5 linked regions of the Callithrix jacchus genome follow. The protein of the gene in region 1 interacts with the protein of each later gene in a biochemical or structural test. Links are inferred from orthologs where the notes say so. Each region holds a gene or a part of one and is shown in the gene's direction. Other genes may lie near its edges.

Evidence for each region.
Region 2: the proteins of MAPT (region 1) and TUBB3 form a complex in vitro, tested with the Homo sapiens proteins (3 studies listed by BioGRID, with this or other methods). The link is inferred for Callithrix jacchus from reciprocal best matches to the Homo sapiens genes MAPT and TUBB3.
Region 3: of the proteins of MAPT (region 1) and MAPK11, one has a biochemical effect on the other in vitro, tested with the Homo sapiens proteins (2 studies listed by BioGRID). The link is inferred for Callithrix jacchus from reciprocal best matches to the Homo sapiens genes MAPT and MAPK11.
Region 4: the proteins of MAPT (region 1) and UBE2W are reported together in a solved structure, tested with the Homo sapiens proteins (2 studies listed by BioGRID, with this or other methods). The link is inferred for Callithrix jacchus from reciprocal best matches to the Homo sapiens genes MAPT and UBE2W.
Region 5: of the proteins of MAPT (region 1) and CSNK1D, one has a biochemical effect on the other in vitro, tested with the Homo sapiens proteins (4 studies listed by BioGRID). The link is inferred for Callithrix jacchus from reciprocal best matches to the Homo sapiens genes MAPT and CSNK1D.

The regions. Positions count from the first base shown.
Region 1 is NC_133506.1:86,763,000-86,766,499, forward strand, and holds part of MAPT (microtubule-associated protein tau), read left to right. Parts: intron 1-1,211; coding exon 1,212-1,427; 3' UTR 1,428-3,500. UniProt on the Homo sapiens protein: Promotes microtubule assembly and stability, and might be involved in the establishment and maintenance of neuronal polarity.
Region 2 is NC_133521.1:47,572,326-47,574,484, forward strand, and holds the end of TUBB3 (tubulin beta-3 chain), read left to right. Parts: intron 1-292; coding exon 293-1,368; 3' UTR 1,369-1,659; downstream 1,660-2,159. UniProt on the Homo sapiens protein: Tubulin is the major constituent of microtubules, protein filaments consisting of alpha- and beta-tubulin heterodimers. Microtubules grow by the addition of GTP-tubulin dimers to the microtubule end, where a stabilizing cap forms.
Region 3 is NC_133502.1:218,842,696-218,846,635, reverse strand, and holds the end of MAPK11 (mitogen-activated protein kinase 11), read left to right. Parts: intron 1-10; coding exon 11-40; intron 41-128; coding exon 129-176; intron 177-254; coding exon 255-369; intron 370-671; coding exon 672-743; intron 744-979; coding exon 980-1,059; intron 1,060-1,523; coding exon 1,524-1,602; intron 1,603-1,687; coding exon 1,688-1,861; intron 1,862-2,153; coding exon 2,154-2,233; 3' UTR 2,234-3,440; downstream 3,441-3,940. UniProt on the Homo sapiens protein: Serine/threonine kinase which acts as an essential component of the MAP kinase signal transduction pathway.
Region 4 is NC_133517.1:29,502,969-29,506,468, reverse strand, and holds part of UBE2W (ubiquitin-conjugating enzyme E2 W), read left to right. Parts: intron 1-344; coding exon 345-500; intron 501-3,500. UniProt on the Homo sapiens protein: Accepts ubiquitin from the E1 complex and catalyzes its covalent attachment to other proteins.
Region 5 is NC_133506.1:137,884,437-137,887,936, reverse strand, and holds part of CSNK1D (casein kinase I), read left to right. Parts: intron 1-1,202; coding exon 1,203-1,374; intron 1,375-1,744; coding exon 1,745-1,884; intron 1,885-3,500. UniProt on the Homo sapiens protein: Essential serine/threonine-protein kinase that regulates diverse cellular growth and survival processes including Wnt signaling, DNA repair and circadian rhythms. It can phosphorylate a large number of proteins.

The DNA.
Region 1 (3,500 bases):
CCTGGCTATGTCATGTCTCTCTACTTTCAAAAGGGCTTCAGCCAGACACAGTGGCATGAACCTGTAGTCCCAGCTGCTCAGGAGGTTAAGGTGGGAAGATTGCTTGAGCCCAGGAATTTGAGGCCAGTCTGGGCAATATAGTGAGATCCCCATCTCCAAGTAGATAGGTAGATGACAGATAGATAATAGATGGATAGATAAGTCACTAGACAATCCCCATCCTAAATCATACACCCACCCACCCACAAACAGGCCTTTGTCACGTCATGTTTTGTGGCCCGCCTGCCAGCACTGCCCACAGTTGCTGCCACCTCCAAACTCATCAGTCACTGGCAAACAGGAGGAATTTGTGTGGCTTATGTCTGGGCATCAGTGGCTCTGGGAGACATCCTTGATCTTCTCCAGCTTCTCTTTCCACATTTTCCTTTGCAATCTGGCAATATGTCTCAAAATGTGCATGCCTTTTGACCTAACAGCTCTACTTCTAGGACCCACTTACACGTGTGTGACATGTTCATACAGGGTTGTTTATCCCTGTTGTTCATACACACCATTGCCTGTAATCACCAAAGGCAGGAGCAGCCTAAACCTCCAGCCACAGAGTAGATGCCTTTTGGTACATCCACGGGGAGGGAATACTAAGCAGCCTTTGTATGTATGTACTCACACATGTGTTTATAGATGAAATATCTCTGGAGGATCCATAAGGAACTGAAAATGACCACTGTCTCTGGGGAGGGTATCTGGGTGCCTGGGAGGCAGATCAGGGGAGGAGTGGACACAGGTATTACCATTTGGAAGACACTAAAAACAGCTCCTGGCCAGGTGTGGTGGCTCACACCTGTAATGCCAGCACTCTGGGAGGCCGAGTCAAGTGGATTACTTGAGTCCAACAGTTTGAGACCAGCCTAGGCAACATAGTAAAACACCATCTCTATTAAATATACAAAAAATTAGCCAGGTGTGGTGGTGCATGCCTGTAATCCTAGCTACTCGGGAGGCTGAGGTGGGAGAATGACCTGAGCCCAGGAGGTTGAGGCTGCAGTGAGGTGAGATTGTGCCACTATACTCCAGCCTGGGCGACAGAGCAAGACCCTGTCTCAAAAACAAAACCAGTCCTTGGCACTGTGGGCCAGACCTGGCGGGACAGTTGGCAGGGCTTGTCTCCCTTTCTCTGGCACTTTATCTCACCCTCCCTCTTCTCCTTGAAGATTGAAACCCACAAGCTGACCTTCCGTGAGAACGCCAAAGCCAAGACAGACCACGGGGCGGAAATCGTGTACAAGTCTCCGGTGGTGTCTGGGGACACATCTCCACGGCACCTCAGCAACGTCTCCTCCACCGGCAGCATTGACATGGTAGACTCGCCCCAGCTTGCCACGTTAGCCGACGAGGTGTCCGCCTCCCTGGCCAAGCAGGGTTTGTGATCAGGCCTCCGGGGCAGTCAGTAATCGTGGAGAGGAGAGAGAGTGAGAGTGTGTGGAAAAAAAAAGAATAATGACCCGGCCCCCACCCTCTGCCCCCAGCTGCTCCTCGCAGTTCGGTTAATCACTTAACATGCTTTTGTTGCTCGGCTTTGGCTCGGGACTTCAAAATCAGTGATGGGAATAAGAGCAAATTTCATCTTTCCAAATTGATGGGTGGGCTAATATTTTTTAAAAACACTCAAAAACATGGCCACACCCAACATTTCCTAGGGCAATTCCTTTTGATTTTTTCCCTCCCTCTGTGTAGAAGAGGGAGGAGAGGCTCTGAAAGCTGCTTCTGGGGGATTTCAAGGGACTGGGGGTGTCCACCACCTCTGGCCCAATCCAGGGGGTGTCACAGAGGCAGCGGCAGCAACAAAAGATTTGAAACTTGGTGTGTTTGTGGAGCCACAGGCAGATGATGTCAGCCTTGTGTGAGTGTGACGGGGGTGGAGTGGGAGGCCAAGGCAGGGGCTGGGCAGAGGGGAGAGGAAGCCACATGCTGGAGAGGAGATGCTGCCCCACTCCATGCCGATGGGAGGGCCAAGGCCTCCGCTGCCTGCAGCATCTCAGACCAAGTGGTGCCTGTCCTTTGTGGCTGGGGCCTGCTACGGGTCGGTGTGCCACCCTCTGCTGGGCAGCCTGTGGGAGAAGGGACAGCGGGCAAGAGGAGAAGGCAGGCCGGCGGGAGGGTGGTGCCCCATGGATGATTTCCTTGGAGAAGACTGATCTTGACATCTGAGGGCGCTGGCCTCTTCCTCCCTCTCTGCAGGGTGGGGGGCCTGAGCTGAGGGACTTCTCTCTGCTCCACAAAACCCTGTTTTATTGAGTTCTGAAGGTTGGAACTGCAGCCACGATTTTGGCCACCTCACAGACCTGGGACTTTAGGGCTAACCAGTTCTCTTTGTAAGGACTTGTGCCTATTGGGAGACATCCACCTGTTTCCAAGCCTGGGCCACCGGCATCTCTGGAGTGTACAGGGGTCTGGGAAGTGGGTCCTGAGCCTCCTGTCCTTCCCATGGCCACTGCCATCACCCGTCTGCCCCGCCGTGCCACTGTTTGCCATGAGAGCCCATTCACTGCCTGTATCCCACATCACGTCACCATGTCACCACCTACTTATCAGTAATGACCCTGCGGGAGGTTGGCTTCGGGAGGTACCTACTCCATACTGAGGGCAAAATTAAGGGAAGGCAAAATCCAGGCACAAGAGTGGGACCCCAGCCTCTCACTCTCAGTGTCAGTCATCTAACTGGTGTGCCCCTCACCACGAATCTCATGACCTGATTCTGTTCCCTGCCTCGTCCTCCCTTCACAGATGTGAGCCAGGGCACTGCTCAGCTGTGACCCTAGATGTTTCTACCTTGCTGATGTGGAGAGAGCCCTTTGCCCCCAGAAGGCCTGGCCCCTTCCGGTGCTGAGCTGGCAGCAGGAGGCTGGGTGTCCTGGTTGTCAGTCATGGCACTAGGACAGGTGGGCAAGGCACCCAGGGCAGGCCCACAGTCCCGCTGTCTCCCACTTCTACCCCAGCTTGTGGCTGCCAGCCTCCCAGACAGCCCAGCCGCTGCTCAGCTCCACATGCATAGAATCAGCCCTCCACACCCCCGAAAGGGGAACACGCCCCCTCGGAAATGGTTTTCCCCCCAGTCCCAGCTGGAAGCCATGCTGTCTGTTCTGCTGGAGCAGCTAAACATATACATAGATATTGCCCTGCCCTCCCCATCTGTACCCTGTTGCGTTGTAGTTGGATTTGTCTGTTAATGCTTGGATTCACCAGAGTGACTATGATAGTGAAAAAAAAAAAAAAAAGGACGCATGTATCTTGAAATGCTTGTAAAGAGGTTTCTAAGCCACCCTCACAAGGTGTCTCTCACCCCCATGCTGGGACTCAGTTCCAGGCCAGTGTGGCTCCAACCTGCTGGGGCCTCCCAAGTTTTATAAGGCTTTCATCAGCACCTGGGACCCAACAGAGACCAGATTCTAGCATCGAAGGAGGCCCTTCAGCTGTGAGGGCCTGAAGCACAGGATTAGGAC
Region 2 (2,159 bases), on another chromosome or scaffold:
AGGTTCCTGGCACTGCCAGTCAGAAGGAAGGTGGGTTGGAGCAGGAGGGCTGGTCCATTCATTCTGGGTCCCCTCAGGAGGGAGAGCACGGCTCTGGGGTGACCCCAAGTTCTCAAGTCTTTGTCCAGAGCCCTTGTCCTGAGCACCGAGCACCACTGGCTCAGGGAAGCCGCAGCGGGTGTGAGGGGGTGCTGAGTGGGGCCTACTCTACAGAAGAGAGAACAGGCATGGGGCTGGAGTCTGGACTGCAGAGCCCACGACCCCACCTGCTACCCCTCTTCTCCCTGCATAGGTCAGAGTGGGGCCGGCAACAACTGGGCCAAGGGCCACTACACGGAGGGTGCGGAGCTGGTGGATTCGGTCCTGGACGTCGTGCGGAAGGAGTGTGAAAACTGCGACTGCCTCCAGGGCTTCCAGCTGACCCACTCGCTGGGCGGGGGCACGGGCTCTGGCATGGGCACGCTGCTCATCAGCAAGGTGCGCGAGGAGTACCCCGACCGCATCATGAACACCTTCAGCGTGGTGCCCTCGCCCAAAGTGTCCGACACGGTGGTGGAGCCTTACAACGCCACGCTGTCCATCCACCAGCTGGTGGAGAACACAGATGAGACCTACTGCATCGACAACGAGGCGCTCTACGACATCTGCTTCCGCACCCTCAAGCTGGCCACGCCCACCTACGGGGACCTCAACCACCTGGTGTCGGCCACCATGAGCGGGGTGACCACCTCGCTGCGCTTCCCAGGGCAGCTCAACGCCGACCTGCGCAAGCTGGCGGTGAACATGGTGCCCTTCCCCCGCCTGCACTTCTTCATGCCCGGCTTCGCGCCCCTCACGGCCCGGGGCAGCCAGCAGTACCGGGCCCTGACCGTGCCCGAGCTCACCCAGCAGATGTTTGACGCCAAGAACATGATGGCTGCCTGCGACCCACGCCACGGCCGCTACCTGACCGTGGCCACTGTGTTCCGGGGCCGCATGTCCATGAAGGAGGTGGACGAGCAGATGCTGGCCATCCAGAGCAAGAACAGCAGCTACTTCGTGGAGTGGATCCCCAACAATGTGAAGGTGGCCGTGTGCGACATCCCGCCCCGCGGCCTCAAGATGTCCTCCACCTTCATCGGCAACAGCACGGCCATCCAGGAGCTGTTCAAGCGCATCTCTGAGCAGTTCACGGCCATGTTCCGGCGCAAGGCCTTCCTGCACTGGTACACGGGCGAGGGCATGGACGAGATGGAGTTCACCGAGGCTGAGAGCAACATGAACGACCTGGTGTCCGAGTACCAGCAGTACCAGGACGCCACGGCTGAGGAGGAGGGCGAGATGTATGAAGATGACGACGAGGAGTCGGAGGCCCAGGGCCCGAAGTGAAGCTGCCTGCAGCTGGCGTGAGGGGCAGGTGGCGGCCGGGGCCAAGGCCAGCAGTGCCTGACCCCCAGAGCCATCTTGCTGCCACCACCGTCCCCTGCTATTCCCCCACCCTCGGGCTCCCGTGCCGCCTCCTGCAGTATTTACGGCCTCCTCCTCCCCACCCGGGCCACCTGTGGCTGCTCTGTCTCTGTCTTAATGCAGCTCCTGGCCTGATGTTTTACGGTTTTGTTTTTTACTGGTTTGCGTTTATATTTTTGGGGATACTTAATAAATCTATTGCTGTCAGATACACTTGCCTGTGCCGGCGACTTCCTTTTGTTCCGGAAAGTGGTGTCCAGTGGGTGGAGGGGCTGGCAGGGAGGCCTGCGTGGACAGGCTGGAGCCCATTCTCTCACAGGCTGGTGGCTGAGTGAGGCCTGTGCTTGGGGCTGGAGGGTGTCTCAAGGCACAGCCCATGGGATCTCCTAGAAGGAGGGACCCGGGAGAAGGAACGGGCAGTGCCTGCCTAGATAAATCCGCAGCCCTCCTGTGACTTAGAAACAACCCTGCGCTCACTCCCTGGTCCCTCAGAGTGGCTTGCCTTCTGGAAACTTCTCCCACCTGTCTGTGTGCTGAAAGTTGGGGCAGGTGGTCCCTGTGGAGGTGGAAACTGACATTAGACCGGAAGCCTCAGGTCAGAACCGGGGAGGTAGGGAAGGGGCCCCGAGCACTCGCTGAAGACCGTGTGTCGGGTGTCTTGGGGCTGGGGCTCTGGGAGGGGCTGCTGGGGTAGGGGAGATGTGGCCACAAGA
Region 3 (3,940 bases), on another chromosome or scaffold:
CCTCCCGCAGTACATCCACTCGGCCGGGATCATCCACCGGGTAGGTGCGGCCGCAGGGTGAGGGTTGGGTCTGGCAGGGCTCTGCCCCGGCCTCCTGCCCTCACGCTCACGCTCGTAGTGACCTGCAGGACCTGAAGCCCAGCAACGTGGCTGTGAACGAGGACTGTGAGCTCAGGGTGAGGCCTGTGGGCAGGGGTGGGCAGGGTGGCGGCGGAGCCTGTTCGGGGCTTGAAAACACCTTGTGGTCGCCCCAGATCCTGGACTTCGGGTTGGCCCGCCAGGCAGACGAAGAGATGACGGGCTACGTGGCCACGCGCTGGTACCGGGCCCCTGAAATCATGCTCAACTGGATGCATTACAACCAGACAGGTGCAGGGGGAAGGCCTGGCCGGGACGGAGGCCAAAGGCCCTGGCCCTGCATGCTCACTCTTGGTGGGCAGGCAAGGTCCCCAAAAATGTGAGACCCACATTCAAAAGCAGCCCTTCAGAGGCTGCTAGAACATGATGGGTGCTGGACCCTTCTGGCCCCGCAGCTGTCGCCTCCCCCTGCCCAGGGCTGCATGTGGCAGAGGAGGGGGTCTACCTGTCTTGGGGTCTGGATGTGACTTCGGGTCTCCTGGAGGAGGGATGTGGGGTGGGCACACTGACGGAGGCCCCCCGCCCTCACACAGTGGACATCTGGTCTGTGGGCTGCATCATGGCTGAGCTACTCCAGGGCAAGGCCCTCTTCCCGGGAAGCGACTGTATCCTTGGCTCAGGTTGGGGAGCAGGGTCAAACGGGGCCCCTCCTGTAGGGTAGGGGCTGGTGCTGGCCCCTTCTGGTGGGTCTTGCCTCCTCTGCCCTCCCGCATGCCATGCTACCTTGGGGTGGCCATCCTCAGCTATAGGAGAGCGGGCTCTGGGCAGTGCCCCAAATCTTGGGTCTGAGGGCCTAGGAGAGGTCCGCGGCTGGCCGCTGGGTGTTTCCTGAGTGATGCAGACATTGACCAGCTGAAGCGCATCATGGAAGTGGTGGGCACACCCAGCCCGGAGGTTCTGGCAAAGATCTCCTCGGAACACGTGAGTAGGTGCCCGCCAGCCAGCAGCTCCCTCTGCTGGTTGAGCCCCCAGGCTCTCTGGGGGAGAGGGTAGTATTGAAATGCAGGGACAATGTGGGGAACATGGGACGTGGTGGGATAGAGCCCAGGGCAGGTGCCCAATCCCTGCAGGGGGAACAGGAGAACAGCAAAGACATTCCTGACACCAGGGACGGTGGGTGCTAAGCCATGATCCCAGCAAGCAGTGCCTGGCCATGGCAGTGGGGGTGGGCTGGGGGCAAGGAGTGACCAGCTCCTGCAGGCATCAGGGGCTAAGTGAGGAGCTAGAGCCACCAGCTCTACGCAGAGGGGTTCACTGGTCTGCCTATGCCCTTGTCCTGGCCCGTTGGAGTGAATGAGTGTAGTGGCTTGCTGAGAGAAGCCCCAGTTTGGGGCCAGGGAGGCAGAGAGTGAGCAGCCTCCCCAGGTGGTGTTGTTTGCTCCCAGGCCCGGACATACATCCAGTCCTTACCCCCCATGCCCCAGAAGGACCTGAGCAGCATCTTCCACGGAGCCAACCCCCTGGGTGAGGACTGCCCTGGGGCTAGACTGGGCTCCATATCTGGTCCTGGATGTAGAGCTGACCCCCACCCCCAATGGCTCTCCTGCAGCCATAGACCTCCTAGGAAGGATGCTGGTGCTGGATAGTGACCAGAGGGTCAGTGCGGCAGAGGCGCTGGCCCACGCCTACTTCAGCCAGTACCATGACCCTGAGGATGAGCCAGAGGCCGAGCCGTACGACGAGAGTGTTGAGGCCAAGGAGCGCACCGTGGAGGAGTGGAAGGGTGGGCATGGCAGTGGCTGGGGTTGGGTCCAGGGGCCTTCGGGCTGCCTTACCCCAGAGGCAGGAAGTTCCCAGAGGAACTCCAGTTCCTCTCCAGACTGGTCAGGGGCAGAAGGGCATGCAGGTGTCCGCACAGGCTGCGGGGTGGCACAGGGCAGGTTCTGGCTCCCAGACTCTGTGCTGAGGCTGCTGTCATAGTGTGGTGGGCCTGGGCCGGGTGGCAGGTGCCAGATAAGCAGGTGGGAGGCTGGGCTGTGGGAGGCACAAGCTTACCCTTTCCCTTCACCTCCTAGAGCTCACCTACCAGGAAGTCCTCAGCTTCAAGCCCCCAGAGCCACCGAAGCCGCCTGGCAGCCTGGAGATTGAGCAGTGAGGTGCTGCCCGGTAGCCTCTGACAGCCTGTGGAGGGGCCTGGGCCTGCACCTTTCCACAGTTGATCTGGTTTCCTCAAGAGGCGCCTCCCATACTCCTATGGTCACTGACTCCTGGTCTAGGACCCCTTGCCTTCAGGAGAATCCACACACGTATGCATGCACAAACATGTTGTACATGTGCTTGCCATGTGTAGGAGTCTGGGCACAAGTGTCCCTAGGCCTACCTTGGTCCTCCTGCCCCCTCCTGGCCACTGCACTCTCCACTGGGACCTGACTGTGGGGTCCTGGATGCCAAAGGACTTCCCCTGGGGAGTTCCCCTGTCTGTCCTAGGCCGACCCATGGGGAGTGTCAGCCAAGGGATCTCTTCTGTCTCAGGGCTCTGGAGGGCGCACTGGGGCCGGGAACCCCGGAGACTGAAAGGGAGAGGTCTCAGTCACTACAGATGCTCAGCCTAGAAGTAGGGGACTGCCCTGGTCACTGCTGAGACCCACAGGTCTTGAGAGGCAGAGCCAGTGTGCCACCAGGCTGGGCAGTGACAACCATCACGTATCAAATAAGAAAAGCTGCCTGGAGCCTTGTGTTCACCCATGGGTGTGGGCACGCGTGGATGGGCATGCACTCCCTGTGTTCATGGCAGGGCACATGTGGTGCATGTGAATCCGTGAGCACCCAAGGGACAGCAGCCATGTCTGGCAAGAACCCTGAGCTGGGGCGGGTGTGCTGCTGCCTTCCCTCCCCCCAGTTCCTGATGCTTGAGGGATGTTGGGATTCAGACTAGAGGCTCCAGTGAACCACGTGAGCACAGTAGGGGCTTTTTCCTCGGACGTGGGAGCTATAGCAGGTTCCTGAGGCTGGAGGTGGGCGTTGGTTCAGCCTTGAGGACTCTAAGGCAGGCCGAACACGTAGATGTGGACTTGGATTCCGACACTCCTGTCCCAGCACCCTGGCCCACTCTCTACCTCTGCCCACCGTGTGGCCCTGCAGCCAGAGATCGGAGGTGCTCTGGTCTGCGGGTTAGTCATCCTCTTTCCTTGTCCCAGGATGGAGCTGATCCAATAACCCTGGAAGATGGGACCCTGCTCAGAGCTGAGTTGGGAGTGTGGCTTTGCCCTGGAAAGGCGGTGACCTCTTGCCTTGAGGGGCCCAGGAAAGCCTGGGTGTCAAGTGCCTGCACCAGGGGTGCACAATAAAGGGGGTTCTCTCTTGCTCGGCTCATATCCAAAGGCCACTACAGGCCCTGCTGCTGGGGGTGGGGGAAGTGTCTGGGTCACCCTTCATCACTTGTCTCCAGCTGGCCAGATCCCTCAGTCTCTCAGTCAGACAAGCAGCCATCTTCTGGCACCCTCCCTGCTCCCCGGAGGGTCTGAGAGCCCAGGGGGACCAAGAGAAGACATGGCTGATGGGTGGGCTCTGTGCATAGGGTGTGACAGCCACCCAGATGGTGACCCCAGCTGCCCTATGGGGATGTACTGGGCAGGCTTGGCTTCTGGCCAAGATCCAGACCCCACCCCCCACAGTGGTCAGGGAGGCTGGCTGGGGAGTAGTTGGGTGTCTCAGGGAGTAAGGGTCTGCCCATCCCTGGTGGGGTGGGGCTGGGCAGGGTAAGGAAAATAGCTTTCCTTTCCTTTCTGTTGAAGATTAAAGAGCCCACTTTAATCTGAGGGATGTATGCGATAGTCCCATTCCCACTATACACGGTAGTTTA
Region 4 (3,500 bases), on another chromosome or scaffold:
CTTGATTTTTATATGCAGAGAGCAATGAATAGAATTTGAAAATATCATTCTTACAGTGAAAAAATATGTAGTAGTTTAGAATTTTTAAGGAGAATTTATCAAAAATAACCAAAATAAAAAATAATTTGGATTTTTTTTCCCTACTACATGGTTATTCATTCAGTGAAACCAGTACTTACTGAGTTAATGAGAGTAAACAAATAAGCAGTTGTTTATCATGTTCCTGGCACTGATTTTGGTTTGTTTTTATTTTGTTTTTGTACAGTCAATACTTGTTATATGTGGAGACTAGTTTTTGGTTATAGAGAATATTTGAGTTTTAATGGAATTTTATTCTCTCTTAGGTCATGTTTACTGGTGAAAATATTCCTGTTCATCCTCATGTTTATAGCAATGGTCATATCTGTTTATCCATTCTAACAGAAGACTGGTCCCCAGCGCTCTCAGTCCAATCAGTTTGTCTTAGCATTATTAGCATGCTTTCCAGCTGCAAAGAAAAGGTAGGACTTTTCAGAATTATTCCAGAAAATATCTCTTCTCTCACTTTAGGTAGATAAACAATTTTAATATGTAATTATTTTTATTTGGAGAAAGGACTTATACTTTTTTATTTTAAAACTATAGGGAATTTCACGTTTAATAATAAATTGGAAAATTATTTTGATACCTTTCATTCCAAATAGAAGTTTTAAATGTTGAATGGGGTAGAAGCCAGACTTACTGTTTCATATTTTTTTAAACAGGAAATGTGTGCACATGTTCTTAAATAATCTGATTTTATTCCCAAAAGCATGCACAGGGTAAAAGTGTACAAGAAATTCTTTTTGTGGATTTCACAGTGGAAAGCCTCAGAAATATGCATCATAGCTTCCTTCTCCCCTCCGCCAGCTCCCACCCTACCAGCATGTTTCAGGGAATTTTTCAGGAACCAGAGCTTTCCTATCCTAATAATTAGGTTGAAGGAGGAAGACCAATTTACCAGTAGAATTTTCAGGATGTTTCTTCCTGTTCTCCTTTATTAATCCACAGATTCTGTGTCTGTCTAATGGAAGTGGCGGTGGGGGGGGTGAGAAACAGAAAGAAAAAATCACTTACTAAATTTAAAATGTAGGCTGGCTTCCGTGGCTCATGCCTGTAATCCCAGCACTTTGCTGGGAGGCCGAAGCAGGCAGATCACCTGAGGTCAGGAGTTAGAGGCCAGCCTGGCCAACATGGTGAAACCCGTCTCTACTAAAAATACAAAAATTAGCTGGATGTGATGGTGTGCATTTCTAATCCCAGCTGTGTGAGAGACTTGTGGTAGGAGAATCGCTTGAACCCAGGAGGCAGAGGTTTCAGTGAGCCAAGATCGTGCTACTGCACTCCAGCCTGGGTGACAGAGTGAGACTCCATCTCAAAAATAATACAGTAAATTTAAAATACATACATAAATTTAGGATACCCTTATACCCTTTAAAGGTGTCTGAATCCTCTGTGCATTTCTGATCCTCTTATTCCTGCTTGAGGGTTAGTATAGCATAATATTCATGTATTTCTACATTTTAAAATCCCTCTTAAATCCCCATGAGGGTTTCCTTTTGCATTCTGTTTAAAGGAAAAACAAATTTGCCCTCGTAGTTAGGGAGCTATTTGTGTTTTGCAGTTTTCTTCTCTGTTCTCCAAATTGAACTGATTGCCATTTTTATTAAATTAGTATTTGGAGAACGTTTAAGATAATAGTTCATTTTAAAATGATAGGTTATTTAGAACCGGAAGCACTCTAAGCCACAGCATATGAAATAATGGGTTAAATTGCTTTTGTTTTGTTTTTACTCATTTGTTGCTTATTGCTTTTATATTTTCTCCTCTCACCCACCCCAGCACATACAAGTGTTAAACTTTTATGTGTAGGGCAAAGCAGTTTGTGGGTATAAGGCCTTCTATGTTCCTGTTATGCTTTAAGTCTATAGAAAGGTAAGATGGTAACAACAGGATTTAATAAGAAAGTTATGAAGAGGTGAACATCAGCGATATCTGTATATAGTCTTGCATGTGCCTCATGATTATTAGATTTTGTTTACATTTAAATGTATTATTATTAAAAACTAGAGAATGACTATATTCTGTATGTTTTCTTCATCATCATTTAACCTTCACGGTTCCCCTTACATTCTAATTGTCTGCTAATAGTGTTTCTTGCATACTTAATATAAGACTAATCATTCCATTTAAAGCACTAATAAACTGTATTTTTACTGTTACCATTGTATAATATGTTTAACAAGATGATCTGGAAGTCAGGATTTCCATCAAATATGATAAAATTCAAAAAATTTACTAGTATGTGCTACTTTTACTGTGCTAAGTGATAAGTTACAAAGATGAAAAGGAAATTTTCTTTGGCATTGAGAGGATCCAGCTCCAAAGAAACCTTAAAAAGTCTTTTAGGCAAGGTGCAGTGGATCACTTGAGGCCAGGAGTTCGAGACCAGCCTAGGCAAAATGGCTAAACGCCATCAACTAAGAATAGAAAAATTAGCTGGGTGTGGTGGTGCATGCCTGTAGACCCAGCTACTTGGGTGGCTGATGCACGAGAATTGCTTAAACCCAGGAGGTCAGGGTTGCAGTAAGCTGAGATCGCACCACTGCACTTCAGCCTGTGGCAATAGAGCAAGACTCTGCCTCAAACAAAACAAAACAGTATTTTAAATACCCACTTACATGTTTTACTGTTAAAATGGGTAAAGTTTATTCTGTAGTAGACATGGTTCTATGGGCTTTACTTTGATAGTTAATTCTATTACTATTAAAATATTTTACTTTAGGTGTTTGAGACTCTAGTCATAATTCTTTTATTCCAGTTTCCTTTTACACAGTCAGGAGTGGTTCCATGAGCTGAAGGTATTTAAATTCAGTATGTCATTAGATTACAGTGGATTAAAGATAATTTCTGATATTTTGATCATGGGCCTTTCAGTAAATGCCACTTTACTCACATGCCTTTATAATACACTTACATCGTTCACACTTTGCAGTTTGTATCCCATTCCTAAAACAATTTCATAAGCTTTCTTTTGTTTAGTTTCTTTTCTAAGAACAATATCTCCCTGATCACTTAAGAGGGAGATTGGTGATTTAAGCAAATGAGAATGGGTATTTTTTTCTAAATATTTTTTGAAGACTTTTCTGATGATTCTTGGGTTCTAATCAATATATACATAAAATGAATTTGTGAAATTATTTGCTGTAGTAGTACCAATTCCGTATGAACATAGATTTGACTTTGTAGAATCATCCCTTCCTTGAAGTATCTAATTTCATAATATTAATTTTTTAGGAATTTTCTCTAATTGTATCCCCAGATTAACTTGGGATACTTTCATGTCTTGTGCTGTAACATTTTTTTATTGTTGTTAAATTAATATTAACACACAGGGCATTATGAGGTTCAACTAGGATGAAAGTTATGTATATATATGAATTTTAGAAGTGTCAAATTGACTTGCTGTTTTCCGTCCTGCT
Region 5 (3,500 bases), about 51 Mb from region 1:
GGGTTGGGGCCTAGTGAGGTGCAGCTGGTCCAGCCTGACCCTGTCATGAGCTGGTTTTGCCTGTGGCTTTCTGGGTGTGGGTGTGAGAATGCCCTGGAGCAGCCCAGCCTTGGGTTCACTGTCTGAGCTTAATTATTCAGATGCCACTGCCAGAATTGAAGCTCCTCTGTAACTGTTGTGTTCTTTCATTAAAAACTGTTTAGTTATCAGTTTTGAATAGAAAAGGTTGGCGCTTTTGCAGGTGACAGTCTAATGAAGTAGCAGAACTGCTTCTTGGGAGGATACAAAAATGGCAGCCATGTCCGATGGTGGTGCAGGGTCGAGGCGGGGCGGGGGTGTCCTGGTCCGGGCCTCAGCACCTCCAGGTGCTGGGTGGGGTGGGCTCTGTAGGGCGGGTCAGTCCTCTGGCAGGGCTGTGCTGCCTCGGGAGGTGTCAGAGCCACCCTCCTGCTGTGTTGGAGTCCCCTGGCCCTCAGAGCAGGCTGGGCTGTGTGTAGTCCAGTGGACGTGGCTGTGTCCAGTGAGCTTTATTTGCAGGAAAAGGTGGTAGCTGGGTTTGGGTCTGGGGCAGTAGTTTGCAGGCCCCTGCTGCACAGCATTGGCAGTTAGAATCTACTCTTTCGTAGGCTGCTGTCTTGGCTTAAAAGCTGATCTCCCCACCCCCATGCATCTGGATGGTGCAGCACAGACCTGCTGCCGGCCTCACCTCCACACCTATGCAGACTGTTGGGGGCCGCAGGGTCTGGACCCTGAGTGGACTCCTTATCTGACCAAACGCTCTCATCCCCGCCCCACTTTCCTCCCCAGCTGTCACCATTTGGGGCCTGTCTCTGGCCTCCAGTGGTTCCTGTTCCGCTCCTTTCCCTGCACGTGTCAGTGAGGATGTTCACAGAGGAGCAGGCAGCCCAGCTGCTGCCCATTTTGAAGTTTAAGGAAGTTCTGATCCCCCAGGGAAGTGCTGTGGCGAGTGGGGTTTTTTCAATTGTTGGGGGAGCTTAGAGGCCTGGCTCTGACCCCTTTCTGGGATGGCACTGGCATCCCATGGAGAGAAACGTTGTGCAGTATGCGGGCGGCTTCGCAGCCAGTCTTGAGCCCCAGTGCCCTTTGGTAGGTATTTACTCACATGGCTGGGGCAGCCCAGAACCTGGGGTTGCTTTCTGCCAAATCCGGTTCCATCCCGGCCTCACCTCCTTCCTCCTCAGGGTGCCAGCCGGGCTGCCGACGACGCTGAGCGGGAGCGCAGGGACCGAGAGGAGCGGCTGAGACACTCGCGGAACCCGGCCACCCGCGGCCTCCCTTCCACAGCCTCTGGCCGCCTTCGGGGGACGCAGGAAGTGGCTCCCCCCACACCCCTTACCCCTACCTCACACACAGGTGAGTGCCCCCCTCCCAGCACTCTGGGACGGCTTCCTGTGTCTCAGGGTTGGTGGGGGCAATGCACTTGGTGGTGGACACTGTGAATTTCCCACGTCAGGTGATGCTTACTCCTGAGAGTGGATGAGCCGGGCTGCCTGGGCGCCTTTAGAAATGCAGGCACCTGCTGGTGTGTGTGATTCCTCCCGTATCCCATGTTTCTCCTTTGTTCCTCCGGCTGGATTTGAGTGTTGGTGGCCATCAGCTCTGCCGGCTCCTGACTGTCCAGGCAGCCCAGGGTCCTCTCCGGCCACAGCCTCTCACAGGAAGAAAGCCCTGAGTGGCAAGCAGCAGCCAGGGGCAGCCCACTCCATTTCTCTTCCTCTCTCAGCTAACACCTCCCCCCGGCCCGTCTCTGGCATGGAGAGAGAGCGGAAAGTGAGTATGCGGCTGCACCGCGGGGCGCCCGTCAACATCTCCTCTTCCGACCTCACGGGCCGACAAGATACCTCTCGCATGTCCACCTCACAGGTAGGTGCAGAGCTCCTGGGTGGGCACCGGCCTTGACTGTGCCATCCAAGTCCAGAGCAGGCTGTGATTTCTGAAGGGCGTGTTTCCTTCCTTCCTTTTTTCCCCCATTTTTGAGAGTTTTTAATCTCGCTGAGGCGTGGTGGCCTGGTTGCTGATGAGGCTTCTGGGGAGAGCCTGGGAGACAGGCCGGGCCATCACAGGGCTCGTCTTCTGGTCACAGATGGCCAGTCTCAGGTCTCAGGTGCCCGAGGCCAGCAGACCGTGGGGGTTTTCTCCTGCCATTTGAGTGCCCTGCCGCCCCAGCTATCCCCACGCAGGCAGCAGCACTCGCCTGCTCACGCCTCATCCGGGGTGCATTGGTGAGTGCCCTGGCCCAAGAACCTTCCTCATTCTTGCCACTGGCCAGGGTTGGAGGCCTGTAGGGACCTCCACAGGCTCCTCATAAGACCCTCTCTGCTAGTGTGCCCTGCAGCGAGGCTTCCATTCTTTTGACGGCCTTGTCTGTCTTCCTTCAGATAAGAAGCACCCCTGCTTCGCAGCAAAGGCAGGCAGCCCGGGTTGGCCACAGGTGCCGCCTCGTCAGCATCCTCCTCCAGCAGCCTCTCTTCTCCTCTCCTCGCTCTGGCTTGTTGTCTTTTGCGTTTACTAATGTGCTCTTCGAACCAGAACAGCTTTCTACCTATGAATCTGTTGTGTTTCTTCAGAGTGTTCTGGGTTGTTCACCAACAGGGGCAGGGTTGCCCTGTCATGGCTGTGTTTCACTAGCAGGAATCCTCGGGGTACCCAGATTCCCCACAGGTCTTCTGGATGAGCAGGAACTCAGTTCAGAAACGTCCTAGAGTCTGGCTGTGGGCTTGTGGGGCAGTGTCTCTTGGGGTCACAGGATGGAGCCAGGCCCACTGTCGTGAGCAGGGCTTGGTGTAGCTGGCTAGCCAGGAAAGCGCCGGTGTGGGGAGCACTCTTGGCCACTTGCTATCTTTTAATAAGTGAGTTTAGGCCGGGCATGGTGGCTCACGCCTGTAATTCCAACACTTTGGGAGACCGAGGCAGGTGGATCATGAGGTCAGGAGTTCAAGACCAGCCTGACCAAGATGATGAAACCCCATCTTCACTGGAAAAAAAATTTTTTTGAAAAACTAGCTGGGTGTGGTGGCAGGCACCTGTAATCCTTGCTTACTTGGGAGGCTGAGACAGGAGAGTCACTTGAACCCAGGAATCAGAGATTGTAGTGAGCTGAGATCGTGCCACTGCACTTCAGCCTGGCCGACAGAGTAAGATTCTGCCTCAAAAAAAAAAAGTGAGTTTATTGCACGTTTCTAATTCACTAGTAACTTAACTAGAAATGGATTTCTTATATGGTAACATTCTCTCAAAGAAACCAAAGATGCAGAGATTTTGACTTTGTAGTTATTTGCATTGGGCATGAGGGGTCCGGCCTGCATCAAGAGAGTGGTCCCTTACATGCACACAGCCCTGGTCTCACCTCCAGACACAGAAATGGTTTAACAGGTTTCTTCCCACGAGCCTGGCACTCACACCTCAATTACTGGGAGCAGGCCCCAGGAGGGTCTGCCCGTGCCCACCTGTTTTCTTGACACATGGTGGTTCTGTAGCCC